Xenopus tropicalis: one gene and its partners. The protein of the gene in region 2 purifies or fractionates together with the protein of the main gene of each other region. This does not show direct contact. Links are inferred from orthologs where the notes say so. Each region holds a gene or a part of one and is shown on either strand. Other genes may lie near its edges.

Region 1 (3,579 bases), on a different chromosome or scaffold from region 2:
TGCTTTTTTTTTTACATTATTGGAGTTTCATGGGAATTAGAAGCTCTTAAATGTATCCCGCTGTGACCCAACCTTAAATAATGATTTTGTTTCATAGATTGTACAGTATTTCAAGTGGTAAACAAGAGAAGATTCTTAAAAGCTCTCCAAATGGAGGGGCATTACTAAAGGTAATGTACCTTCAATGTACCTTCAAAAATGGAATAACTCTAAATATGCCATATGTTTACATACATGGGGCATTTTACATTTATGCAAATGTAAATGCAAAAGATCCTTTGAAAGTGATCATGGATTTAGAACTGTAAATAAGCATTTTAGTAGAGTATCAATACAATAGATCGAGCAGGATTCTGTAGGTAACTGTGTTAAATAGCCAAACATAGAATCATAAGTTCCCTCCTTTAGAGTAAAAATGCCTTTTTAATATATGCCTTCTAATGTCTTTGCAACTTTATGATATAAGTCATGGATGTATATTTACCTTCAAAATGGCCACATCCTTGACACTCTTAAGATGAAGACACGCTGGGTATCACTGACCCCATTAGCCTGTTTGATGCCATCGATGTTTCTGCATTGAATTCAGGCAGTAATATGACCTACTTCACCAGGGAAAACTGAGCTTTGCCTATGCTTTGAATTTCCAATATTGAAAATATAACATTTGCAAGCGATGCTGAAAACAATAGTTCACGCTTAACTACCATCAGGGTTGACAACTTTTTTGGAATAAAAATACAGACCTTCCTATATTTTTACATCTTCCCTATTAATAACATGGGCATCAAACACGGTTTAACTAGCCAGGCTGGTAAAATACCAGCCAAGAGGCAAACCTACCTACCAATATACTTTTTTGGCACAAAGGTTTTGACTGTATAATAAAAAATGGCCACAAAGGCAAACTCACAATTATTTCATCAAAACAAAAAACTGACCACAAAAGAAATCTTGATCTAACCTTATCACGTAATTTTGTTATACTTTTCCTGTAACAGGAGATGACAGGACATGAAAGTGTTATTGCTTGAAAATCATTTGCCCTCTTTTGCAGTAGTTTCTCCCATGAGTTATAAAATGAGCACTACAGTGGTTACCAATTTGTTTTTAGTAAGGGTTAAATATATATTAGTTTGGGGCAGTACAAAGTACGGTTTTATTATAATAGAGAAAAAGGAAACCAATTTTAAAAATCTGACGTATTTGATTCCATAATTTGGAGCTTTCAGGATAACTGGTTTCCGGATAACGGATCCCATACCTGTACAGGTAAAGGACCTGTTATCTAGAATGCTCAGGACCAAGGGTATTCCCGATAAGGGGTCTTTCCATAATTTGGATCTTTATACCGTAAGTCTACTAAGAAATCAATAAAACATTAATTAAAACTAATAGGATAATTCTGCATCCAGTAAGGATTAATTATATCTTAGTTGGGATGAAATACAAAGTACTGTTTTATTATTACAGAGAAAAAGGAAATCAATTTAAAAAATCTGAATTATTTGATTAAAATGGGAGACGGGCTTTCGGTAATTCGGAGCTTTCTGGATATCAGTTTTGCCGATAAGGGATCCCATACCTGTATATCTATTTATAACCTTGCCTTGAGAAAGCTTTATGCAAAACGCACATTGGTGGGAATCTTTGATTTTATAGTGAATTTCTGTAATTGAGTAATCCCTACCTTTTAATACAAACCAGTACAGTATAATTTCAGGGGGTTGCTGGGAAATTTTCAGTGATATGCATGTGCTTCAGTTCTCATTCTCCTTTTCTTAATCCAAGGGGACCTGGATTTGTGGTTTTTCAGGCAAGATAGTTCTCTCTATTGAAGTAGGGAAGGGAATACATGAGACCACAGTCTCTGGCATCCTGCCTTCTCCTTCTTGTCCCATGTATTCTATAGCAATTCCAAAGAGAGAGTAGTTTTGGGGACACCTCTACCTTCTAGAAATTTCCTATTTCCTAACTTTTATCCGGATGAAATACAGGTCCAATTTATTTTTGTGGCAATTAATTCTCATTTTAATTGGAGCATTGGCACTTTTCAACAGTGGATTAAGTTAATTAACTCCTTCAACTTCAAGTGGCATGATCACTTTATGGTAGTTAATCAGTTGCTATAGATTATATTGTTATTGATTAATCATTAATAATTTTATATATTGATTTATGTGGGTAATTTTTCATTTTAATTAGAGCACTGGCACTCTTTATCAATGAATCAAGTTAATAAACTTCAATTTTAATTGGCATGAGCACTTTTTGGTAGTCAATAAATTGTTTTATATTATATTGTGATTGATTAATCATTAATCTGTACCTTTTGCAATTGAGGCACGTGTCACTTTATTAGTAGTTGGGTAACAGTACTTTGTAATGCTTTTATAATTTAATTACTTGGGATTGATGGGAAATCCAGAGGGGTTAAATTTACTCTTTTCTCTTTTTCGACTTATTTATATTCTCATTAGGTCAGGAATCTTCATTTTATACCATGTTTGCCGCAATGTTGCTAAAAAGCGAGGGGAAATAGTAAAATGTGGGATGTCTTAAGTAATTAAAAATATGTGCTTGCCATTGGCATGTTTTATAATTGGACCAAGGAAATAAGCTGAGAATAAGTTCTAATGGATCCATTTTAATCCTTTCATTATATTAGGTGCAAATTGATCCCTCTGGAACATTTTTTACAACTAGTTGCTCCAGTAAGAACATATCCTTCTTTGATTTGCTATCTGGAGAATGTATAGCAGAGGTATATGGCCATTCAGGTTAGTAGTACTTACATTGCATTTCTATTTATACATTTCCTTGTGCTAACAAGAAAGAAAAAGAAATAGTGCAAAAGTAAAAAATAACACATTAGCTATGTTAACACTGAGGTCCATATCCAAATCCTGAATGTTTTTACAGTACATGTATTTAATGGATAATGCAGTGCAGCTGGGTTGGTGACCAATCTGTTTGGCCATGCACATCCTGTTTAAGACTCTGATCTGGTCCTAGCATTCAGGGTACACGCTTCTTCTCAAATATTGCAACTGTGGAGCTACATGGGCAAACATTGCAGCCACCAACCCAGTTATGCAGTTCTGCAACTGGAGGGACAGGGAAATTTTGTTTTATGAATCCATGTAATTTGGTTAGGGAGGGAGCAGTGGACTAAACTGGGGCCCTGTGGTCTAAGTCTAATGGCAAATAGTGGATCTCCCACCTATGGTTTTCTATAATTAGCAATATAAAACTGCAACTATTCATAGTGGTTTTAAAGCTATTTGTAAATGCAGTCCTGATCTTTCTGTTCTCTGGGCCTATCTATAAAAAAAAAAAAAATCTGTTTCTTTTAATTAGCTGGCATGCAGCAATACAGAAGTCATAGGCAAGGATGCAGGAATATATGCATTAACACATACCATTTTGAATGAATACATATTATAAAAGTTGCTTAGAGTTATATTTTCTTTTATGATTTTCTTTCACAGTTCCACCTTAACATTTTACAATAACGTGTCATTTTTTTAAGCACATTGTGTCTTGGACAATCAAATATACTAAAATATATATATTTTT
Region 2 (4,321 bases):
GTATCAGGAGTCAGAACCAGCAGTGCAGGGAAGGGAAAGGGACAGACACAGTGACAGTTACACATAACTATAAACCCAGTGAGAATGAGGGATGAATGGATATTGGGGAGTTGTATCAGGAGTCAGAACCAGCAGTGCAGGGAAGGGAAAGGGACAGGCACAGTGACAGTTACACATAACTATAAACCCAGTGAGAATGAGGAATGAATGGATATTGGGGAGTTGTATCAGGAGTCAGAACCAGCAGTGCAGGGAAGGGAAAGGGACAGACACAGTGACAGTTACACATAACTATAAACCCAGTGAGAATGAGGAATGAATGGATATTGGGGAGTTGTATCAGGAGTCAGAACCAGCAGTGCAGGGAAGGGAAAGGGACAGACACAGTGACAGTTACACATAACTATAAACCCAGTGAGAATGAGGGATGAATGGATATTGGGGAGTTGTATCAGGAGTCAGAACCAGCAGTGCAGGGAAGGGAAAGGGACAGACACAGTGACAGTTACACATAACTATAAACCCAGTGAGAATGAGGAATGAATGGATATTGGGGAGTTGTATCAGGAGTCAGAACCAGCAGTGCAGGGAAGGGAAAGGGACAGACACAGTGACAGTTACACATAACTATAAACCCAGTGAGAATGAGGGATGAATGGGTATTGGGGAGTTGTATCAGGAGTCAGAACCAGCAGTGCAGGGAAGGGAAAGGGACAGACACAGTGACAGTTACACATAACTATAAACCCAGTGAGAATGAGGAATGAATGGGTATTGGGGAGTTGTATCAGGAGTCAGAACCAGCAGTGCAGGGAAGGGAAAGGGACAGACACAGTGACAGTTACACATAACTATAAACCCAGTGAGAATGAGGAATGAATGGGTATTGGGGAGTTGTATCAGGAGTCAGAACCAGCAGTGCAGGGAAGGGACCGATGCACCGGAGCCATTGGGCAGCCATATTGCTGTGTGTATGGGATATAATAGCGGGCAGCACATAGTGACTGGCAGAGAGGGAGCGGGCAGGATACTCACCGAGCAGAAAGGCTTCCGGTTCCTGGGCGGGGCGGGGCTATGCCGGTAAGTGCGCACAGATACTCAGTAAAGGCCCAGATAAAACTCTTTCAAACCAGAAAGCGCTCCCAGACCCGACTATACGTCATACAGGCGCGACAGGCCAGCGTCTAACACGTCACACACCAACGCGCAGGCGCCTTGCGCGTCAAGCTCTTGTCACTCGGATACCTAACGGATCTCCGCTCTCCACCAATCAAAGCGAGGCAGCTGACCGCCTGCAGCCAATCAGCGCTCGGAGCGGGTTAAAGGGATTTAAAAGCGGGCGATTTGAATCGGAGTGGGCTGTGACGGTTGGAGGAAGTGAGGCGAGTGTTCTGCCTGACGGGAAGCGGAGCTGTCGGTTTTGCGTCTGCCGCTAACCAGTGTCTGTCCGTGGCTTCAGCTGCTGCAATCCGGTCTGTGTGAGAGCTGCTAGAGTCCCGGCCCGCACATTCGGCTGCCAGGTGTGTGTGTGTGACTGGGCCAATGGGGAGCTTTGTTTCATATGGTTCGGGAGTGTTGTGTGAACTGAGTTATATATTCTGGGCTGTAACAGCTGCACCCTCTGTGCTTCAGCCATTGGTTATCTTTATGGGCCAATGAAACTGCATCTCCCAGTGGCACTGGCTCATGTGGGGCCCATACAGGCCTTAGTACTGCCCCCCCCCATATGTGTTTGTGTGGGGCCCATACAGGCCTTAGTATTGCCCCCCCCCCCCCCCCCATGTGTTTGTGTGGGGCCCATACAGGCCTTAGTATTTAGTGTTAATCCATGACTGAGTTTTGGGAGTTGGTAATGTGTGGGATTTTGGATTTGGGCTCCCAGTCTGGAGATGATTGCCCCCCCCCCCCCCAGCAGGAAAAAGGGTGATCCTTATCGTTCCAGGGGTACCCAGGGCACAAATAAGCACTCACCCCAAATCCCCCCCTAACTGGCCTTCAGGCTGGGCCCCCTTAGCCCATAACAAGGTTACAGATATATAGAAACATTGGGGTAACAGTCACCCTGCTATAGTTCCAGGGGTACCCAGGGCACAAATAAGCACTCACCCCAAATCCCCCCCCTAACTGGCCTTCAGGCTGGGCCCCCTTAGCCCATAACAAGGTTACAGATATATAGAAACATTGGGGTAACAGTCACCCTGCTATAGTTCCAGGGGTACCCAGGGCACAAATAAGCACTCACCCCAAATCCCCCCCTAACTGGCCTTCAGGCTGGGCCCCCTTAGCCCATAACAAGGTTACAGATATATAGAAACATTGGGGTAACAGTCACCCTGCTATAGTTCCAGGGGTACCCAGGGCACAAATAAGCACTCACCCCAAATCCCCCCCCCTAACTGGCCTTCAGGCTGGGCCCCCTTAGCCCATAACAAGGTTACAGATATATAGAAACATTGGGGTAACAGTCACCCCGCTATAGTTCCAGGGGTACCCAGGGCACAAATAAGCACTCACCCCAAATCCCCCCTAACTGGCCTTCAGGCTGGGCCCCCTTAGCCCATAACAAGGTTACAGATATATAGAAACATTGGGGTAACAGTCACCCCGCTATAGTTCCAGGGTACCCAGGGCACAAATAAGCACTCACCCCAAATCCCCCCTAACTGGCCTTCAGGCTGGGCCCCCTTAGCCCATAACAAGGTTACAGATATATAGAAACATTGGGGTAACAGTCACCCTGCTATAGTTCCAGGGGTACCCAGGGCACAAATAAGCACTCACCCCAAATCCCCCCCCTAACTGGCCTTCAGGCTGGGCCCCCTTAGCCCATAACAAGGTTACAGATATATAGAAACATTGGGGTAACAGTCACCCCGCTATAGTTCCAGGGGTACCCAGGGCACAAATAAGCACTCACCCCAAATCCCCCCCTAACTGGCCTTCAGGCTGGGCCCCCTTAGCCCATAACAAGGTTACAGATATATAGAAACATTGGGGTAACAGTCACCCCGCTATAGTTCCAGGGGTACCATGGGCCTAATAAGATTACTCACTCACCCCAAATCTCTCTAAGCATAAGAACTTGCAATGTTTGCTCGGTTTCTATTGACGGTTTATATAACTGAATATGTTGGTGACAGGCACATATAATGGAACGGGCTGTTAAAGAGAATCTTCCTTCTAATGTCAAGGTAAGTCTTTATCTGCCCAAGTTACTAAGCACTTGGGGAGCCACTATTTCTTTTTGTATTTAAGTTCCCCTGCGCCTCAGTAGGTGATTATCTTTATCGCTGTGAGATGTAAACTGTTGAGATGTGTAGTTCAGTAACTCGATCACACTGGAAGGCAGAAGGAGGGAATACTTGCCCTTGCGCCGGTAACACGACGTTCCTCTGCCTGCGCCACAAAATGCTCAGTTTAATGTCTGTAAAAGTCTTTTGGGTTTCTCTCTTTAATGTTATGCATTCTCCCTGGTAATAAAGAACTGTCAGACTACTGACCATAGTCTGTGCTAAGAAATTCCCAGCATCCTTAGCTGCCCAGGGAAGTTGTTTCCCAGAGATCTTTACATCCATGGTTTGGCATTTGATTATTCTTACTAAGGTTTCTCTTTTTCTTTACTGTAGGTTTTCCACCCCACAATGGAGGGTCCCAAACGTATCCCAGTTACCCAGCCTCCGAGCACCCAGGTTAGACCTCCTGGGACTGCCGTCTCTGCCCAGAGGATATTGGGTCCCTCCAATGTGCCACAGCGAGTCGTGTCTCAGGCTCAGAAACCTGTTATGTCCGCTCAGAAACCTGTTATGTCCACTCAGAAGCCAATGACTCAGGGGCCACTGAGGCCAGTAACTCATGGGCATCAGGCTGGCAAACCACAGGGACCAAATGAGAATCGTACTCCACAGCAGACCAGCCATTCCTCCAGTAAGTGCCCTGGGACTTGAGAGCTTACTGCAATAGCCTCTGGCCGGTGGCTGTGTTCTTCGGGCCGCGTTGCCTCTGGCCGGTGGCTGTGTGCTTCGGGCCGCGTTGCCTCTGGCCGGTGGCTGTGTGCTTTGGGCCGCGTTGCCTCTGGCCGGTGGCTGTGTGCTTTGGGCCGCGTTGCCTCTGGCCGGTGGCTGTGTGCTTTGGGCCGCGTTGCCTCTGGCCGGTGGCTGTGTGCTTTGGGCCGCGTTGCCTCTGGCCGGTGGCTGTGTGCTTTGGGCCGCGTTGCCTCTGGCCGGTGGCTGTGTGCTTTGGGCCGCGTTGCCTCTGGCCGGTGGCTGTGTGCTTTGGGCCGCGTTGCCTCTGGCCGGTGGCTGTGTGCTTTGGGCCGCGTTGC
Region 3 (4,252 bases), on a different chromosome or scaffold from region 2:
GCCCAAGGAAAGTCACGATACCAAAGCTTGAATGTATCCAAAACGTTCTTACTCAGCGCGACAATACGATTTTGTCGCACAAATTTTGTCGCAAAGTACGAAAAAGTCACCAAAAATACGCTCGGAGCGTTCGTGAATTAGTAAATGTAAACATGTTTTATGTTTGTAGCAAACGTTGATCAGTCCTGCACATCGAATTTTAGCCCATTCCTCTATACAGAACAGCTTCAGCTTTTGGATGTTTGTGGGTTTCCTCACATGAACAGTTTAAGTTAGGTCGTTCCACAATATTTAAATTGGAGAAGTCAGGACAAGCCCACATCTCATTTGTAATAGACAAGAGGATCTATGGGTAGCTTCTCTAAATGTGACATTTTCAGAGTAAACACTTAAGGGCACTGAATCAGGCACCATATATTATTCATTGTTACCAACACGAGAGTGACTTTCAAAAATCCAATATGTCTCCATTAAAAGGTGCAGTATCCCCCCTTGTTTAACAATAGATCAATAAATAGGTCTTCTACGGAACACTTTTTGCCCATTTCAATTTTTAAAAATCTACCTCGCAAGGACCAAACATGGAATAGCTTCAGTTTTCCTGTTTAGCTCACAAAATAAAAATGAGATTTTTCACAATTAAAACAAAAGACATAAGTATATTCAGCCCCTATTTATTAAACAAATGTTGAGAAAGGAGGTATTATTGTTCCCCATGTGTTTTTTGCTGGGTGGAATCCAGCCTTGCTCGGCCTGCGCCTAAATATTAGACTAATAGTTACAGAAGGTGGTACGACAGTTGTTTGAAGAATCTGATCGCCTACAGCAAGAGAACTTCGGTTTCAGCTGGAGTGTTGGGGCAAGCAAATATTTTTGCTGACCCCCTTTTTCTTTTCCAGCTCAGCCAATGTTTTTTTTACTGGTGAAAACTGGGTATAATGCCCCTTTAATATATGTAAAATATAGGAGCAACAAGGTTTCATTGTCTTGTCTGGACACAACCACTTATATTTTGCCCTTACAAATACATTAGCATATCAGCCTACAGAATTTTAGTCATTAACATTTAGTATGCTGCAGATTTATACAATTAAAATCTTGACTTTTATTTACTTTATATTCACAGTTGAAGGTCTAAAATGCCATGTGAATGCAAGTCAGTGAACTAGGAATTCAGAATCATTGCAAGGCTTTTATTATGTCCTTTTTTACTCACTATTTGTACTTCAATTTGAAGTAGAAAGAAAACAAGAAAATTGCATTCACCGCAGAAAATATGGGCTAATTAAGCCTGCATTCTGGTTGGGGCAAACTATACATTTTGCCCCAAAAAACACTTTGGCTTTGTATGTAATAGGGCTATGCTGTCCACACCAGGAGGTAGTGTAAAGTGGGCAGCCATATTTGGAGCCTAAACATAAGCTGGCACATTCATGCGAATGCGTGCATCACAACAGGAATGTTCACAATGAGTAAGTCAGTTAACTCATTACATATACATAAATATATGTATATAGACTATATACCATAAATAGATGCCCACTAATAGTATTGCTTTCTTCCACCCGAGTTGCAGGGTCTATTAGCCGTAAACAATTTTCCTATCACAGTTGCCCTTTAAACAAGTAACTGGTTGCAAGGACCTGTAACCCCACAAGGGAATTGCAGCCTAAGTTGCCAAATAGAGAACCGAGGAGCAAAAAGTGTTAGAGAAAAAAAAAAGAAAATGTAATGGCACCTCTACACAGAGCTAGTAGCTTACATTTCCTCATTAAAGTCACACCACATCAGCATTAATTTACTAATGAGAACAACAAATGAAAATAGATCCAGTCATTGCTGCTCACCCATTGCCCATAACTAAAGGCAAACTACACAAAATGACACAATCTATTCTTCCAACTCCCCCATATAGTGCATCAGTAAAGCTGCGAGTGAGAGCAGCACAGCTGTGGCACAGGGTCAGGATAACCCCCACCTATTGGCAATATACACAGTTATGAAGGTCAACTAAGGCAAATGGAAATAATCAGCTAATGCACAACATGCCCCCTATGGAGTGAGCAATAATCATAGTTCAATCTAAAGTCTGAAGCACCTTGGTCCCTATACGGATCGCTGCGATTCCCAGGTGTATGGAGCGCTGCGCAGTGTTAAGGATCGGATATACTGGGTGAATCCGGATTCTGCACATGGAATACACATGCAGCGGCTAGGAGCCAGCGGATCGCCTCTATACAATGTATATTGGGCCAGTCCGGCCAATAACTCGTACAACAGCCTGATTAACTAGATATATACTATGAGCAATCAGAGCGGCACCCTGTATGTACCGGAGTATAGAATAAAGTCCTGTTCCGGTAACGGCTCCGTAACGCAACTGCAGGCTGACAGCCGCTCCAACTGCCATATCAATCTCAGCACAAGGAGCCCAGCCAGGATGCTACAAACCCCGCTGCCCCAATAATAACACCGTGTATACATCATTGCTCACTCACATACATAGCTAATGGCAACCCTTTCAACCCTGCCACCACATGAAAGTAAAGTGACAGAGTGTAAGGAAACCCGGCCAGGCCTTCCCGAGTACCATCCTCACCTTCTAACAGTCGCTGTATGATGCTGTCGATGTTAAGCTTGTCAACATCTGCCATTGCTCCGAAAGTCTAAATGGCGGACCCAGTAAACTGTCGCAATAAAAACAGAAGCCCAAACGTACTGGAAACCGGGCAGGGGGCAGTCTTGGCGCCGCAGCGGCTTTTCAATCCCCCTCGCTCGTCTTCCGCTACAGACTCCCAAGAACCTGACAAAATGGCGCCACCTCCTCCCCTGCCGGCCCGCGCATGAATATCTATGCACGACCTGGTACATTTTAAAGACCCAGGCGATAGCACGTACAGTCAAATCTCAACCCACGCTGTGTTTCATTGCGCCAGCCGTTTCTGAAATTTGGCCGTATTTGCGAGCTAGGACTATTTTTTCTCTAGTGCCAAAAGTTAGTACTGCGTATATAAAAAATGGTAACCGTTATCGGTTTTAGGAATGCATTACACGTGTGAGGGTTGTTTTTGTTTTAAAAAAGATCCAGTGACATTGTCTTTGATCATTCTGTGGGTTTCTAGGTTTTGTAAATGATATTTGAATGAGGTGTAATTTCCAAAACAAAGTGAAATACTTAGTAATTTTGAAAAAACGATACACGTAAAATAAAAATAGATATGGCTACTTCACGTCAGCTAAATTTATTGTTTTCAACTAATACACAGAAATACCTTTTGGTAGCCTCCTAACAGGGTTGCCATCAGTAATTATGGGGCTACTCCTTGACACCTGAGCAGTGGATCCTGCAAAAAAGTACAATGGAGCTCCAAAAAAACCCGAATTCACTCCCATTTTTGCCAAGTTGTCCACAATCAGCCCAGACTTCACCCACTAGCCCAAAAGTCTCAGATCAGCTCTTGTGAGAAGCCCTTGCTATCAGGCCCCTGACCAAATTTCCCTCTGTCCCATCTGATGGCAGTGCTGCTGCCTAAGCTGTCACATTTAATACATTAATTGCTGTTTTTTCTCAGTAGTTGCAGAAGCCTTTGCCCCAAATAATTGTACTCCCTGACTTCATGCTTTCTGGCTTAGTAACGCAAGAAGAAACGTGCAGGTATCAATGCTTCTGTACATTGGCCAGGGCCAGGGCCAGCCAGGAGGTTTGGCAATTTCTTGGCCAGTGGAAACCCAGACACCTGAAGATCAGGAGACCAGTGTCTCAACTAGTCCAGGGTGAATAATTATTACCCTACCAACTTAGTGTTAATTGAAATCTCTACACCAGTATTGAAATAAATATGTTGTAGAAAGTTAGGACTAGGCTGCCAACAGCCTAACACCATTCTAAATGTTTGATCTGGTGCTCCCTGCAAAAAACAGCACAACTTTGGACACAAGTGCTCGGTAGATAAGCCCTTGTGCCCTTTAGTGCTCTTGCATCTGTGCCAAGGGCCTTTCTAACTGACCCCTTTACTTTTTTTTATTTCATAGTATTGTCACAAAAGGGGATTGTTTCTTTAAGATTTTTATTAGAATGAATACAAAGCTCCCAGCAGTTCACCAGTGGTTAATTTCACAGTAGATACCTCAAGGCAAGGTATATATATATTCATTTCAGGCATCATGAGCCAAAGCTCATAATGCTTTTTAAATTCCAACAATATACAAAGTAAATTGAAATGAAACAAATATCACATTACTAAATAAATAC
Region 4 (4,269 bases), on a different chromosome or scaffold from region 2:
ATTTATAAATGCGCATAGTGATTAAAACATGGGGAATTAGTGGTCATAGAAATGATTCTGAAACAAATTTTGGTTTCTCTAAGAAACAAACACTACTAGTGGGGAAAGAACATTTGCCTTTTATCATGGCACTATTTTCTGTTACTTTTCAGACTGATGCTTGCCCATTAGTTGCAAACAAATATCATGGTGTCAGAATGCATTTCATGTGTTATTGGAGAATCTTCACACTGAGACGGTAACTGACATTTTTGTTTTCATATGATTTCTTCCAGTAAGATTAACAACACACTGCAGTTATGTGCAAGATGCTCAAGGGTATTAAACCTTATAGCGGTTTAATGTGTATTTCCTGCATGAAGTTCTTCTCTCAGTATCTGCCTAGTCACAACTAAAAAAAATTCCTAGTATAATATATGTATGTATGTATGTATATCTTTATTTATAAAGCGCTACTTATGTACGCAGCACTGTACAGTAGAATACATTAATACAAACAGGGTGTTAATAAGATAATAATAGATAAATAGATAAAATATATCTTATATATATTTTTTTTTTTATATCTCTCAAGTCAATACAATAATTAAACATAGTGAAAAATAGCAAAGTAGCTTTTGACAAAGTAGCTAAATGATAGATATGCAAATTCTAAGTGATAGTTAAAAGGGGGGTTTACCTTCAGGTTACCTTTTAGTATGTAATAGAAAGGCCTTTCAATTGGTCTTCATTTTTTATTCATAGTTTTTTGTTTTTTTTTTATTATTTGCCATCCTGACTCTTTCCAGCTCTGTAAGGCTGCAGTTTATTGTAATTGTTATTTTTTATTACTAATCTTTCTATTTAGACCCTCCTGTATTCATATTTCTGTCTCTTAAACCACGGCCTGGTTGCTAGCTTAAATTAGACCCTAGCAACTAGATAGCTTCCGAAATTCCAAATTCTCCAAAACTGGAGAACTGTTAAAAACAAAGCTATAAATAATTTGAAAACCACAAATTATAAAGACCAATTGTAAACTGTCTCAGAATAGCAGTCTCTACATATCATACTAAAAGTTACGGTAATCTAATGGTGAAAACGCCTTTAACAATATATAGATTATCCAATACTCTGGACATCAATTAGTATTACATAATTTATCCCCCTTGTTCCAAATTGAATATGATGATGTTTTTGATCTATCACAGGTAAAGGTTTATGGTAAATCAAATAGCCTTTACTGTGAGTTAAGTGTCTTGCTCACCATGAAATGTCATTTGTGTAGATCATTTGTCCATCCAAATCAGCAGTATGGTTTTTTTTAGTTAATGTTTGTTCTTTTGTTTCTCTTACAGAAAACAACAAGTAGGCAAATTACAATGATTTAAGTCACTGGATTTATGAGAGCCCTGCATTTTGCAGACCCTCAGCATGGCAGGCCTTCAGCTCATGACTCCGGCCTCCTCTCCAATGGGTCCCTTCTTTGGGCTACCCTGGCAACAGGAGGCTATTCATGACAACATTTATACCCCACGGAAATATCAGGTATGATTACTGGACATCCCCCCCAGGTGGTGATGGTTACTGTTTGTCAGAAAAACCTTTATTCTGTAAAGAACAGAATCATTGCAGTGGTTTTATTTAGTCTTGTTTTATTTGATCTTCTATAGTTAGTGAAAGGATACATTTCCACATATTTACATTTGTGTGTGTATAGTTTTTGTTCTCTGTGAGCAATAAAAAAAAAAATTGATTGGCCTGTACTGACAATCCACAATAGGCCATCTTGTAATCTGTACATTGCCTAGGGTCAAGGAACATATTAAATCGGTTTGCTTTGGCTCATGGCATGGTTAGAGAAAGTTGGCATTCAATAGAGCCATTCCTTTGTCAATCCCTGAAAAATCTCTGCAAATCTTGTTGTATATTTTGCTGTATTTACAATCTTGCTGTATATGACCAACTTCACCAAGATTCCAAAACAAAGTTGACTGTGCATGCTAAGATTTTGACTAACCTCTGAGCATGTATGACAGATTGGTTCATGGTAGATCTGAAAATTTTAGTCAGTTGAGTGAAAAGTAAGCAAAGGTGATCCAGAATAATGGTTGTATCTACATGTTCAGTGTGGTCTCTTACAATCTGTTGTTCCTCATACTGGATAATCAGATATGTGCATTTTTTTGTCTGCAGGTTCATTTGTATATGACTAGCTTTACAACAAAGCTGTTATTGAACTACTTGCATCTTATTATTACAGGGTACTGCTAGATAATGTTTGTACCACCTCATGTTTTTACAGAGAACTTACAGTAAAAAAAACCTAATTTATCATATTGTCCTATTCCAGGTGGAACTACTCGAAGCAGCATTGGATCATAATACTATAGTATGTTTGAATTCTGGCTCAGGGAAGACATTTATTGCAGTACTACTCAGTAAAGAGCTGTCATACCAGATCCGTGGGGACTTCAGCAAAAATACTAAGAGGACTGTGTTTTTGGTCAATTCCGGTAAAGACATTTCAAATATTACAAGGTTACCAAGAAGACAAATTGTAGACATATATATAAATTATTTAAAAAGTAATTTTTCAGTTATTTTGCAGAAATTACAGAAGTTTTGTGTGCGTGCACTAAAACCCATTGCACGCAGAGCGGATCGGCGGTCTCTGTGTAAAACTTTGCTTTTGTGTTTTCAGGCCAACCGCCGCTCCAATCTGTGTGTGCACACTTGGGCTCTTGCCATAAGTTTTAGTGCACGCTCACAGAGCTGTGTACGGAAGTGGATCCACTTCTCTCAGCTAGGCTGAAAAGTGCAGGGCTGAGAGAAACGGATATACGCTTTGTCTGCCCTCACCCTTAGGAGTGCCATGACCTGATTAAAATCACTTGGCCTTCGGCTTCATGCATTTAAGCGTTCATGGAACTTCTCAGTTACTTATAATTTAAAATAGGTGGTACTTTATTCACTGTATATTTTTTTTTTTTTTTTTTTTTTAGTTCTTTTAATCACATTGTATCAGCCATCTTGCAACACTGTACAGAAAATGTAAACAAGCACATCTTTTTTTCAGTAGCAAATACGTTTGTAGGTATCTTTTAAAACTTTGACGGTTAGTACAATTTCCACCTCTATTCAAAAAAAGTAGTTATTAAGGGGGTACCCCTTTAAGACAAGCTGTTGTCTGAATTTTGTCTTGAATATGTTACAATGGAGCGTTGTCACTGATTGCATCTGAGTATAGTTAATGGGAATCACATTAGATCATAGTTTAGCTGTACCTATTATACAGTATTGGAAATTACTGACCTCTGAAAGTTATGTTGAGTAAAGTAGTGGTGACAAAATAAGGCAACCTATCATGTTTGGCTTTAACCTTAAATAGCAATACCAAAGTTAAGCTAATCATAATCAGTAGAGAAATTGCAGGAAAGTTAATTAATGGATATTATCTGGCGTCTTGGGTCTCGTGGCTTTTCCTGTACTACCTATAAAATTTGTCTGCTATAACGCATTGTGGTGATCAGTCTTTCATGTGTATAAAATATTTAACTTTTATATTTTAAATTTCAGAGAAACAGGTTTCTCAACAAGTGTCTGCTGTCAGGACCCATACAGACCTCAAGGTGGGAGAATATTCAGATCAAGAAAAAACACAATGCTGGGCAAAAGAAAGATGGTACCTAGAATTTGAAACTCATCAGGTAATTTTATTGTTCTGTTTAAGGAAATGGAATGCACAATTGTTGTCTGTATAAGAGATATAACGTATAAGAGTTTATTTACTGTTAAATGATCAGTGCATTTACAGAGATTTTAAAACAAAACTTCCTCTTAAAAGACAAGGAAAGCCTATAGGGGTCGTTTACTATACCCTGGGGTGCAAGTTGCCGCCCCTTTAATGCTCACTTATTTAAATGATCTTTGGGTTCAAATCTATCTAAGAGGCTTTCTGGTCCATTTTTCTTACTCCAAATGCATTAAAGTCAATGGGTGGGGTTTTTTTTTTTTTTTTTTTTTTTGTGGGGACTTTTTTTGTCTTGGCCACTTTTCTCTTGGAGACTTTTTTTTTTTTCTCAGTTTTTGTCGCAGTTTTGCAAATAAATTTTCTGATGTCGAAATGCGTCATTTCACTGCAAATCCATACTTAGTGAAAAAATGTGCTCATCACTGATGGTGCTCCAAGTTATGGAAAGATTCTTTATCTGGGAAAGCCCCAGGTCAGGTCCTGGCTATCAAATCCAATATTACATGTAACAAAAAACAGAAATGCAGAAAGAGGCC
Region 5 (4,250 bases), on a different chromosome or scaffold from region 2:
TTTTTGGCGTAAGTTCGCAAACTTTTTTTTTGAGGTTCGCTACATCCCTAGTTGCTAGGGTAAACTGCACCCTAATTCCGAAATGGTGAGGCGCATCAGTGGCATAACTAGTTGGCATTGTAATCACAACAAAAATATACGTTTAACTCCTAAATTGGAAGCAAATACGTTTAAGCATACCCCCCAACTGTCCCGCTTTTCGCGGGACAGTCCCGGTTTTTACAGCGCGTCCCGCTGTCCCGGATTGTTCAATCAATGTCCCGCATTACAGAAATGCAGAACATTCATTAAACTATCCAGGTCAGCGGGACGCGCTGGCTGCAGCGGAGCGCTCCGGCTCCGTCTCTTCTTGGGCTCCTGCTCCTTATTCGGCTCTTCGTACGGCGGCGACAGATCCTTTTATAAGGTTGCGCCCGTGCGTACGTGTGATGTCACACGTACGCACGGGCACAACCTTATAAAAGGTCCTGTCACCGCCGTACGAAGAGCCGAATAAGGAGCAGGAGCCGCAAGAAGTCTATGGGGGCCGCTATGTATGGGGGCATTTTCTATTGGAGGTACTCACTATGGGGGCAATTGGGGGGCTCTGTGTATGGGGGGTACTGTGTATGGGGGGCATTGTATGGGGGGACACTGTGTAAGGAGGGCTACTGTGTATGGGGGGCACTGTGTATGGGGGGCACTGTGTATGGGGGGGCTCTGTGTATGGGGGGGGCTCTGTGTAAGCAGGGCTACTGTGTATGGGGGGGCTCTGTGTATGGGGGGCTCTGTGTAAGGAGGGCTACTGTGTATGGGGGGGCTCTGTGTATGGGGGGCTCTGAGTATGGGGGGGCACTGAGTATGGGGGGGCACTGTGTATGGGGTGCACTGTGTATGGGGGTGCTGTCTATTGGGCCATTGTGGGCACTATTTTAACTATTTTAAAAATGGGGTGTGGTAATTGGGGGCGTGGTCACAAAGTGGGCGTGGTCAAAAAATTGCCAATTTTCCAATCCAGCCCATATGGAATCTATAGAATGTGTCTATGGATACTGAGCATTGTCTTGGCAAACGTGTTCTATAGCAGCTCAATATCTATAAACAAAATATAATATAACTACATAAGGCAAATTTTTCAGGCGATGCTTTGTTCATTTTAATGTTTAATGTTTGTTTAAGAAAAACAAATAGAAAACAAGACGTGCTAATAAGTATTTTCTAATAAAAAAAATCTTTCAAGGCGTAAGCCTAAAAACTTCTCCTGAGTAGATTTTTAGCTGGTTTTGTCTTACAGATCTCTCTTTGGTGCCGTTTGAGGCCCTTGAAACGTCAGTAATGGCCCTAACGAGACACGTCTAAATAAAGTTAATTGAAAGAGAACGTTTATGCTGCCTGATCGACCAGGAAGAACGTAACCAGGAAGTGAGCTACCGAACCGGAAGTGACATTTTGCCCGGTGCCTCCCGCCCAAGTAGATACTTTGCTGCTCAAAATGGCGCCGCTGGACCTGGATAAGTATGTGGAGATTGCCCGGCAATGCAAATATCTTCCTGAAAATGACCTGAAGGTGAGTTGCGGCTCCGCCAAGACCTATGAATGGTTTTCGTATTAGTGATATCTGATTACAGCCTTGCAGAGACGGGACGTCCATGATACAGTCTTTTTGCCTTCTGGTGATTGCTTCAGCGTTTGCTTAATGGAGATCTCCCCAATAACAGTTTTTGCATAGTGTGTATGCATGATATGTATTTCTTCTCAGTAAGCTTACTTGTCAATGTTATTTTAATACAAACCCTCCCGTTTCTGCGCTTATGATTTTTTTTTTTTTTTTTTACGACTGTAGCAGAAGTTAGTTTTCCTGCAGGACTACTGACTTCTACACTCTTTCAAGAGTCAGAAATTCGACCAGGCAGGCACTGCAGACAAATAACTGTAAAACTATTGAATGTTTTAATGAATAGATCTATTGTTTTACTTTTTTTATGTGAAAACTGCCTTTTTAACACTTGTGTGCCAGTGTACGTTCGCCTAAGGATTATAGCTACATAGTCAAACTCTGTGTAGAAAGATTCAAACACAATACACGTGAGGGTAGTCAGTTTCAGTAGGACATATTAGGGCTGGGCGATATACCGTTTAATACCGAATACCGTTGTTTTTTTTTTTTTTTTTTAAACTATATTTTTCAGATACCGCAATACCGGGGTGTCAGGGTACTCCTTGCGTGCGCGCGTGTCCTGTTGTCCGTGGGACGTTGCGCACGCGTGTCCAGGTGCGCACGTACATGTCAAAGCGCACGTACATGTCAAAGCGCACGTACATGTCAAAGCGCACGTACATGTCAAAGCGCACGTACATGTCAAAGCGCACGTACATGTCAAAGCGCACGTACATGTCAAAGCGTGCACGTACATGTCAAAGCGTGCACGTCCATGATGCGCTGACGGCGCCGGTCCTGCGCATGCATGGGGGGTATTTAAAGCCGATCCTTCACTTGCCTGATTTTCAATACTGCAGTAATTATTCTCTAATTTATTAGGAAATGGGGTTAACACCTAATCATGCATGGGGGGAAAAAAATACCGTCAAATACCGTGACACCGATATAATTTTGAAAAATACCGTGATATAAATTTTTGGTCATACCGCCCAGCTCTAGGACATATGTCCATTGGTGGATTTAATGGACTACCGCTGTCACCCTCCTCTTTAGAATGGTACCTTCTGTAACTGAACTTAGAAATTGTCGTCCTTAGTATTTTATATGGATATTTTTTTTGTAACTGTGGTTATTAATGCAACTTTTTAGAGCGAGATCTGTAGGCCACTATTATGTTTTGTTTTTTTTTATGTTCAACTGGAGTCTCGTGTGACTGGGGATTTTAATGAGCCCCAGTTAAAGGTCTCTGTTTTAGATTTAAAAGATTGTAGCAGTGTTTACCACTCTGGAGAAGTAGATTTGGCACCGAGATTTGCCGAAGTTGCCTTGAGAGGAAACTTCGGTGACTGGCAAACCACGGCGCCATGTATGCCATCCCACTGGCGATTAAAATTCTAGGTGGTGGGATGGCATTGCGGGGAGATTAGTCGCCTGCAACAGCGGAGATTTGTCGCGGCACGACTAATCTTCCTGTGTGTCACGGCCCTTAGGGTAGTGGCTGATAGAGAGATTAATTGCCCCACGACAAATCTTCATTACCGCAGGCGACTAATCTCCCTGCAGTGCCATCCCACTGGAATGGAAGAATGTAAATCGCCAGTGGGATGGCATACGCGTCGCTATGATTTACCGAAGTCACCTGAAGTTTCTTAAGGCAATGCCATCCCACCGGCAAGAATGTAAATTGCCGGTGGGATGGTATAGAGGTCTCTACAATTTCCCAATATTGCCTTGAGAGGAAACTTCAGGCAACGTCGGGAAATTGTAGTGATGTGTATGCCATCCTGGCAATTTACATTCTTGCCGGTGGGATGGCATTGCGGGGAGATTAGTTACCTGTGACTAATCTCCCCGTCTGCCACTGCCATTAGCTCAAGACTTTGTGTCGAAATATATCCGCGCTATGGTAAACAAATTCTAAACAATTCTATTTAAATGTTAAAAATCACTCAGTGGTCACTGTGCAGCCATCCTCCAACTAATCCCCAGTGTTGCAGAACCATAAATCACCACAGAGTTCGCGCTCGGTGGGATGGCATTGCGGGGAGATTAGTTACCTGTGACTAATCTCCCCGTCTGCCACTGCCATTAGCTCAAGACTTATCAATCATTATCACCTATGACTAAATTTGTTGCCGGACTGCCCAGAATCAGGTGATCGTGCAAGGTTTTGATCTAATAACACATTGTCCTGCCAGTTTCACGGTGACTTCAAGGAAGCTTGAGAGACACGTGGTTAGAATTGGGCAGAATGCCTTATTTGCATCTCTAGATACTGGAAGCCTATTTTTAATGTTAACTAGGAAAATATTTGGTGTGACACTGTGGTTGGTACAGCAGAGTTTTACTATATCTCCACCATATTGGAATCTTATACAAAGTGAGTTTGAAAACAGCTGCCCCAAGGGCAGTGTATTCTTGGCTAGAATAAAAACCACCTTTCCTCTCCAAACTTTTTTTTACTGGTAAGCCACACTCAAATCTAAAAAGTGTTGGTGGAGCCACATAAGTATGAAAAAAGTTAATGGGTCTAACTAAGTAAGCGCTGGGATTGGCTGCTTGGTAGCCCCATGTGGACTGCCAGCTTGAAGCTCTGTGTACAGTAAACTAG
Region 6 (4,294 bases), on a different chromosome or scaffold from region 2:
TAAGCTGTGCTCATGGTTACGTATTGAGTTAACTTGCAGTTTCTACTCACTTCTATTGATAATCATTTGCTACTATACAGATGCATACTATTGAAACAGCACTTTGTGGTAAACCATAGTAGCAGCGCCGGCAGCATGCAGCCTGTTGTACTGGTGAGGAAGGTTAATGCTGTAGCCCTCCTACTGTTTGTGTTGAACTAAAAACCTAAAAATGCCACACAGAGCATTCTCATTCTGGGAGCAGTACTGCAGCTATAGCTGTGCTGGACAACTTTTTTTCTTTTTTGAAGGCTTGGCCTCTTTGCATTAATAACACAGAAGGCAGTTTATATACTTTATACAAACCTGGAGCAACTGCTTAGAATGAAAAAGACACCCCTATACATGTCATGAATGTAAATTACATTGCTAAATATAATACAGGCATTTTCCACCTACTGTAATATAAATTAGTAAAGAGTTATCTAATAATAGGGAGTACTGAACATGTGGCCCGGTCCAGAAGACAATTTTTTGCTACATGTGCTCTATATTACCTAAAGCCATCTTAATGCTCTACATTTATTTAATGCCAATAATTTGTGGGGTTTTTTCTCATATTTGGTTCAACAAGGCTGTGTTTAACTGCACTGCCACTAAATGTGTAGAGGGAAACTTATTACACGGCATATAAATGAAAATAATTACCCTACAATACATACCCCTGTGATGGGCATGCCTACACAAATATAATTGTGTGTAGTGCATGTTGCTTCTGCCTCAGTTCCAAATTTCAAGAGTCAGAAAGCAGCAGCTCCATTAAAAGCTCTCAGAAAAGAGAAAGTCTCTCAGTTTCCATTACATGTGCCATAAATGATAGCACTGACAATCTTTGTGTTTTGTCTCAGTGACTTCTAACAGAGAAATGAAAAAAGCAGGTCCCTTCACCATGTGCCATAACCCCAACAGGTGTAACTTTATTTCACTCTAGTAACAGAGCAGAGAACCACTACACCTTTGATTATCATCATCAAAACTAGGGGTGACAAGCAGATTTCAGCAATCTACTGTCAATCACAAGTGACCACCAGGAGCTTAATTTATGCTATTAGTAGGTACATTCATGCCCTAAAAACAGTATATACATCTTTAGTAAGAGCTTTTTTTAATATACACATAATCCAGGAATAAAAGTGCTTTATAAAGGGTCCAGGTTGTATTTAATCTTTGGTATTTCACTTAAATAAACCTTAAACTAGGGTTCAATTAACCTTTCAACCAGGTAGACATTTGGAATTCAGAATGTTTTAGGAACAGAAGAGGCTCTGAAAACATAGACCAATAATTCAAAAAACAGGAACATTCAAATTAAAGTCTAATAGTCCATGTTTCTATTGCGGGTCAGTGACCCTGTAACTAGGTAGCTTTTCCAGCTGCAATTTGGAAGAATGTGGTAAATAATTCAGAAAGAATACAACACGAAAAGTTTATTTTAGGACGGGCAAAATTTTGTCCACACTAAAGACTGGAGTTAATTATATATATAACAAATTCTTTTATACAAAATTCAAGTTTTATTGCATCCCATACTTTATGTTACTGCAATTTGGCATCCTCTGCCTTTCAATCCTATTACAGTAAATGCTTACACTAGGGATGCACCAAATCCACTATTTTATAATCTGCCTGAACCCCTGAATTGTTTGCGAAAGATTTGTCCAAATACTGAACCAAATCCTAATTTGTATATGCATATTAGAATAAGGAAGGGTTGAAGAGAACCGTGCATGAAAATTTTTCAACTTCCGTGTGATGGATTCTAATTCGTTTTGGCCAGAGGCATGGATTTGGCCAAATATGGATATAAAAGGTCAGATCTTGGCAGAATCCTGCACCAAATCCTGGATTCAGTGCATCACTAGCTTATACACATAAGTAACCTTATCTTTAAATAAAGTTTCACTCTAATCCCCCATATGAAAACAGCTAAATGGAGCAGCACAGACTAAAGACAACACAAAGCTGGGTTCTAGTGTGACAAGTCCCTTACATGAGTCTGAGCACTAAGTGGGAATGTTCTCACCATCAGACTTCTCTTACAATGGTTTGCATAGGGTGTTGCCCCAAGATTAGTACTGTGAGCACAGCATGCCTAAGCATTAGTACTACCCACTTACTTTGGGCAAGAAAAGGATGAATTAGGCAACTTGCAGTTCAGTAATGTGTGTCACAGGCAGAAGCCCAAGTACCCCTACAGGCTGGTTTGGTGTAAATAAATTCCACTTCCAAAAAGTCCACTTCTGTAGTTCTAGAGTCTTGAGGCAATGTTTTGGATTTCATAGTATGCACAGATATACAGGATACAGAGGTATAATTGTGTGTGTGTATAAATACACAATATACACAGAGCTATACTGTGCATATGGGAGTTAATACTTACAACACTTGCACACTACACAATCTCCCAATAAAGAGTTGCCTACAAGTCTATACTGAGTACAGCAGTGGTCTTCAAAGTGCGGCTCGTCAACTGTAAAACTACAACTCCCAGAATTCCTGGACGGATTCTGGGAGTTGTAGTTAAACACAGCTAGAGAGAAGGTAGTTTTGTGTCCCTGTAGCAGGGCAAGTAAATACAAATCTACATCCACTAATGTACTACTTTAAATTATTCCCCCACACACTACACTATTTCTTTAAAGCGATCAAGTCCCGGCGGTGGCCAGCGGCCAGTTACCTGGGTGGAATGACTAGTCGGGGGCATTCGCTGCCTTTCCTGGAGCCCACACGGGCAGGCACGCAGCTCACGGAAGGAAGGCTTCTCGCCGAGAGACAGGCACGGGAGGAGAGGGAGAGAGAGGGCGCGCCGGGATGACGTCAGTCGCTCAGCAACAACCAGGGCAGCAGTCGTCGCAGCGGCTTGATGTCATACGTGGGAGACGGAAGTAGGAGGCTACTGTTACTAGCCGCTACAGTTATGTTATGGTGGGGAAAGCAGCGGCGGAGTGTATTCAGCCTGGTGCTCGCAGGTGCATGTACCGCCTACGTTAGTAAGGTCAGTGAGACTCCGTACGATTAGCTCCAGCGGTTTCTCTGATTTTCAGTCTATTGCCGAATTATAGTTTCTTGTGTCATACACTGAGTGGTTGCAGTGTTCAGCAACAGTGATCTAAATGAGCCGGGGTGCCTTATACATATCGCTTCCGATGAGGATCGAGCTGCAGAATGGGGGGGGGGGGGAGACAGGAATTTAATTAGAACGGACAGCACACGAACGTGGACAGGCAGGTGTGGGGCACAATCACCCAGGGATAGGTGCCTACTGGGGGAACAATGCCTTGAGGCGAGAGATTCCAAAATGAGCCCTCTCCCCATGATGTAGGGATGGATGGTATCTTCAGGTTATAGTCATAGTTACCAGTATATATTACTGTCTGTCTGAGAAGGGTCTCATTCATTCAGTTCTCTAAAAAAAAAAAAGTCTAGTTGATTTGACTTATTGCTATAGTTATATATTACTGTCCATAGCCATAGAAATCATAGTCCCCAGTACATTCTAGTGCTATACTCCAGCAATAACTTTAATGATATTAATTTCATCAGAAGAGTTGAAAATTGCCTTTATTCCCACGGACCAAGACTAATGCATGGATAAAAAAAATGTTTGGAGCAACTGAATGCTAATATAAATAGTACAAAGTTTGCATAGTCTGTTTGGCACATGGGCTTTAATGAGCACTGGGTAGCACATACTTTCTACATTCAGAAAGGAGTCAGGACAGAGTCTGTAGGATAGAATTAAGGATTCATTATACTTTTGGGACTTTATTTCAAGATTTGTTTTTAAACAAAATTGTTAAATTGTTACATTTAAGCCTGTGCTATGGAGAATGGTGATGCTTTATAAATAAATGCCCTTAATTGTTTAGGTGTTGGAGATTGCATTGGCACATGCAGGTCTATAGAATGTTAGCAGTTTGTGCTTACCTGCTGTGTCCTTAGCACTCTAATGGTGAATACCGAGTTGAAGATAAAACCTGAGCTAATGCTAAAAAGCCTTTTTTTTTTTTTTTTTTTAAAAAGGAAATGATACCGCCTATTTGACATGAGTTCATTCATTTGTATTAATAATTTAATTTTTTACACAGACATACATGATTCCACAGAGTGAAAGGGAACAGTAAGAATCTGTCTGAGCTTGCAGGGATTGGTTCCCCACACCCGGTAGATGATGGTGCAGAGATTCTCTCGAAAGAAGGAGGACTTTAAGTCTCAGAATTCATCCGTTCACAATAGAACAAGGTAAGGGAAGGTT
Region 7 (3,579 bases), on a different chromosome or scaffold from region 2:
GGGGATGACTTTGACGCAGCTTGAAGTATATTGCAATATATGGACAAACAATCCCTGTTTTGCTTAAAGGGGTGGGCATTGTTTGGTGAGTGCAGAGCATCTCTTGTTGTTTTTAATTTAGTTTTAATTTAATTTGTGGTCACAGCCTCATTGCACCCCCACCTAATGGTTTTAAATATAGTGGTGAGCACAACTTTCCCTTTTTTGCTATACTAACAAACCTGGGCAATTTGCTCAAGAAGAATGTACATAATGACATAAAATGTAGCAGCTAAAGGTATAAATGGTATCATTGTAGCATTTTGTAGCTGAAGTTATTTTATTATTAGCCAGCCTAATGTTTAAACTTCTGTTTTTAACTTATTCTGCGTTCCATTTAAAATAAATCAGTTGTCAAAACTATACAAAGAACTACAAGCTTGGGTACTTTCATTCCTGTAAGTAATTTATTTTTCTGTAAAAAAAAAAAAAAAAAATCTCTTGCTGTGCGGTATGTTGCAATACAGAAGGTATATACTGTATGTAATGGCTCTTGGAAAACAAGTGCAGAAGTAAAGTGCATGTGTAACACCAACCAGTTAGAATTAAGGTTCCTTATTCTGTAAGCTAAGCCAGAGAAACTGTCTTCTATATTGCAGGCCAAGAGGGATCAGATTGTGAATCTGAAAGCAGAAAAACTAAGCCTGGAAAGCAGTCTGCAGGAGGAGAAAAGTCAGAGGCAAACATTGCAGTGCAAACTTAACCAGGAATCAGATGCCAGACAGGTACTACCCCCAGAACCCCCATACTCTGGGAGGCCATACTTTACTGGAAGCTTATTATTTGAACTAGAACAATGTTTAGTTAGTAATGGACACTGTAGAAAGATGGAGGTAAACTATATCGACAAGCCTGAGTCTGATTCTAGTGTTGGCATCGTGTGACCTTGGATAAAGTAGTTATTAAATGTAGCCATACATTCTTTGAATGCAGTGGTCAGTTGGACCAAGACAAAGCATGACAATGCTTGTGTTTTGCATATATGTTTTATAAGGAGCTCAATAGATGCCCAACACAGACTGCCTTCTTCAATGTACATCATTATACCATGATTTTCCTCTTTTCCCTAAATGCATCAGGCATTTTGAAAATACAGCGTTGTGTATTTTCACATAATAAAGTTGTCTTTTTGTCCTCTGCATCTAAACTTTTGCCATAAGAATCTTGCTCAATTAGAGCTTCTCTGAACCAGAAAGGTGTGATAAAATAACAGCATTTATACAGTGCTGCGGAATATGTTGGCGCTTTATAAATAAATGTTAATAATAATAATGTTAATAATTTATAAATCTGGGAAAAGTTATTTCCAGCAATGAATCTACTGCAGTTCCTTATCTGTCTACCACGGTACAGGTACAGTTATCCGAGAACAGACGAGAGCTGAGTGAATTGAAATCTGCCCTAAAAGTTGCACAGATGGAGAAGGAGCAACTGAGAGAGGAAAGGCAGGTGAGACATTTACCGCCATATCTCCATTACTTGCCTGTCATCAAGCATCTGCTCTGCAGAAGTAAGTGCCACATGTGGGTAATGGAGCAAGGCAGCACAAGCAGAAATGCTGATACCTTTTGTATAGCAACCTATGGGATGGTGGTTTTTAGTTACATTACTTCTGATTTAATATACATTCATCTAATTAAACACTTGTCTAAAACATTTCATTTTTATGCTTACTTAACCACTAACAACTATACAGAACAATAGAAATATACATCTATATTTATATATATATATATATATATATATTGTGTGTATATATATATATATATATATATTGTGTGTATATATATATATATATATATTGTGTGTATATATATATATATATATATAACACAAAGTACTGTTTTATTATTACAGAGAAAATTGAAATAATATCTAAAGTTTCTGAGCTTTCTGCATAATGGTTTTCCAGATAAGGAATCTCATACCTTTATTTGATCTTATTAATGACATGTCTCATGGTTTACCTTCTTTGTTCTTTTTTTGTTTTAGGAAATGCTCCAGTATGTTCATAGGCTGGAAGAACGGCTAGACAAGCTGGCTGATGAGAAATGGAAAGAAGAAGAGATACTTATGGAAGAAACAACAGCAGACCTAAGTATGCACTTAAGTGCCCTCTGTATGATTTAACATTTACCCCTTGTTGTCCTAGATTTCATTTATTGGCTAGTTTTTAAATATGTCTATTATTGTTCTGTGCATGATGCCTTAGAGAAGATGCGGTTGCTTATCTTATGTACTGGTGACATGCAACCTTGGCAGCTGCAGTGTTTGTACAGTGGCTGTTATGGTGTTCTAGAAGTTTCTAGATCAGCAGCAGGTTGAAGCTGTAGGTTAAAAACTGCTACTTGTTCATGTATTATACGTGATAAGTTACTATTTACATTTGTAGGTGTTCCTGTAACTAATTGCTTTTTTGTGTAAATAAAAACAGGTTATTAGTCATGCTATCTACCATCTGATAATAGGAAGGGATAGTAGGGACGGAGAGAAAATGTTTATGCCACTTGGAAAGTAATGTTAGTTTGGCAAGTGAAGCTGCAGAGGGATTATAGTTCAGATTATTATTTTTGTTGATCGCCTTGAATGTGAGTATTTACAGAGAATGGTTTAAAAGTAGAGGCTGTTTAGAACTGTCTGATGTTTTGTGTACCTTCTGTACAGGTCCTCCTACTTCACCAGTGGATCTTTCTGATTCAGATGATGAATCTTCAGGGGATGAGAGAGAATCTCAGAAGCTTGGAGCATGTTCCTTTGATAAAGAGGACATCTCCTTGGACATACCGTTGTTTCCATGTGAGCCTCAGAAGGTGGTGATAAACCAACCTGCACCGATTGCTTGTCAACTGCAGCCTCTCCCTGAGGACAATGTTGATTCAGTGAGTAATACTTGTTTGACTGTGTTCATTCAGCAAAATGAACTTGCATGACTCTACAATGACTATAACTTGCAAACACAACAATTGGTAACAAAGATATATGCTCTTACCTCTGTACACAAATACTAACAGGAGATAAGGTGGGCCTATAACAAATGAAGTACCTTCAGTGAACACCATTAGAGCAACTGCACTTGTGTGGATTAAGGTAAAAATCTACCAAATATTCATACAGTGCTTTCCATTATAATTTCCATAAGCAGATATAGGGGTGAGATACTAGAAAACATATTAGGGTATAGAAAAAAGACAAATAGAAAGCATTGCACTCAACAGCACTCAAAAAGGCTTTATTTAAATCCCAACATTTTGGTCACACTTAGTGACCTTTCTCAAGGGAAACAAACAATTAAGTGATTCCCTGTCCTGAGTGCAGTGCTTTCTATCTTTATTACTATCTTCATTTGCACCCAGGCAGCTGTTTTATTACATTTGAGTGTTCCTTTCAGTACTATATATATAAGTCTTATAGAGAAGAATAGATCTTCTAGAAACCAGGAACAGTTTCTGAAGGATGAGAGAATAAACATCAGTGGCCTAAGACAGTTAATGGTTAAGTTTCAAGCTTAGAGAGAAGTAGCTCCAAACCTATCAAATAACA

What was found.
Region 1: the proteins of aurka (region 2) and wdr62 purify together in Homo sapiens (affinity purification with mass spectrometry; 3 studies listed by BioGRID and IntAct, counting the BioPlex papers as one, with this or other methods). This does not show direct contact. The link is inferred for Xenopus tropicalis from reciprocal best matches to the Homo sapiens genes AURKA and WDR62.
Region 3: the proteins of aurka (region 2) and ppp1cc purify together in Homo sapiens (affinity purification with mass spectrometry; 3 studies listed by BioGRID, with this or other methods). This does not show direct contact. The link is inferred for Xenopus tropicalis from reciprocal best matches to the Homo sapiens genes AURKA and PPP1CC.
Region 4: the proteins of aurka (region 2) and dicer1 purify together in Homo sapiens (affinity purification with mass spectrometry; 4 studies listed by BioGRID and IntAct, counting the BioPlex papers as one, with this or other methods). This does not show direct contact. The link is inferred for Xenopus tropicalis from reciprocal best matches to the Homo sapiens genes AURKA and DICER1.
Region 5: the proteins of aurka (region 2) and ppp6c purify together in Homo sapiens (affinity purification with mass spectrometry; 4 studies listed by BioGRID and IntAct, with this or other methods). This does not show direct contact. The link is inferred for Xenopus tropicalis from reciprocal best matches to the Homo sapiens genes AURKA and PPP6C.
Region 6: the proteins of aurka (region 2) and fbxw7 purify together in Homo sapiens (affinity purification with western blotting; 5 studies listed by BioGRID). This does not show direct contact. The link is inferred for Xenopus tropicalis from reciprocal best matches to the Homo sapiens genes AURKA and FBXW7.
Region 7: the proteins of aurka (region 2) and calcoco1 purify together in Homo sapiens (affinity purification with mass spectrometry; 3 studies listed by BioGRID and IntAct, counting the BioPlex papers as one, with this or other methods). This does not show direct contact. The link is inferred for Xenopus tropicalis from reciprocal best matches to the Homo sapiens genes AURKA and CALCOCO1.

What each region holds. Positions count from the first base shown.
Region 1 is NC_030684.2:76,019,724-76,023,302, forward strand, and holds part of wdr62 (WD repeat-containing protein 62), read left to right. Parts: intron 1-97; coding exon 98-170; intron 171-2,668; coding exon 2,669-2,780; intron 2,781-3,579. UniProt on the Homo sapiens protein: Required for cerebral cortical development. Plays a role in neuronal proliferation and migration.
Region 2 is NC_030686.2:6,087,825-6,092,145, forward strand, and holds the start of aurka (aurora kinase A), read left to right. Parts: upstream 1-1,465; 5' UTR 1,466-1,520; intron 1,521-3,140; 5' UTR 3,141-3,149; coding exon 3,150-3,191; intron 3,192-3,626; coding exon 3,627-3,924; intron 3,925-4,321. UniProt on the Homo sapiens protein: Mitotic serine/threonine kinase that contributes to the regulation of cell cycle progression.
Region 3 is NC_030677.2:162,953,101-162,957,352, forward strand, and holds the start of ppp1cc (serine/threonine-protein phosphatase PP1-gamma catalytic subunit), read right to left. Parts: upstream 2,833-4,252; 5' UTR 2,655-2,832; coding exon 2,600-2,654; intron 1-2,599. UniProt on the Homo sapiens protein: Protein phosphatase that associates with over 200 regulatory proteins to form highly specific holoenzymes which dephosphorylate hundreds of biological targets.
Region 4 is NC_030684.2:88,606,328-88,610,596, reverse strand, and holds the start of dicer1 (endoribonuclease Dicer), read left to right. Parts: upstream 1-1,413; coding exon 1,414-1,527; intron 1,528-2,332; coding exon 2,333-2,495; intron 2,496-3,558; coding exon 3,559-3,689; intron 3,690-4,269. UniProt on the Homo sapiens protein: Double-stranded RNA (dsRNA) endoribonuclease playing a central role in short dsRNA-mediated post-transcriptional gene silencing.
Region 5 is NC_030684.2:28,173,698-28,177,947, reverse strand, and holds the start of ppp6c (serine/threonine-protein phosphatase 6 catalytic subunit), read left to right. Parts: upstream 1-1,437; 5' UTR 1,438-1,471; coding exon 1,472-1,546; intron 1,547-4,250.
Region 6 is NC_030677.2:55,438,900-55,443,193, reverse strand, and holds the start of fbxw7 (F-box/WD repeat-containing protein 7), read right to left. Parts: upstream 2,846-4,294; 5' UTR 2,717-2,845; intron 1-2,716. UniProt on the Homo sapiens protein: Substrate recognition component of a SCF (SKP1-CUL1-F-box protein) E3 ubiquitin-protein ligase complex which mediates the ubiquitination and subsequent proteasomal degradation of target proteins.
Region 7 is NC_030678.2:146,549,901-146,553,479, forward strand, and holds part of calcoco1 (calcium-binding and coiled-coil domain-containing protein 1), read left to right. Parts: intron 1-638; coding exon 639-764; intron 765-1,392; coding exon 1,393-1,488; intron 1,489-2,031; coding exon 2,032-2,137; intron 2,138-2,703; coding exon 2,704-2,918; intron 2,919-3,579. UniProt on the Homo sapiens protein: Functions as a coactivator for aryl hydrocarbon and nuclear receptors (NR). Recruited to promoters through its contact with the N-terminal basic helix-loop-helix-Per-Arnt-Sim (PAS) domain of transcription factors or coactivators, such as NCOA2.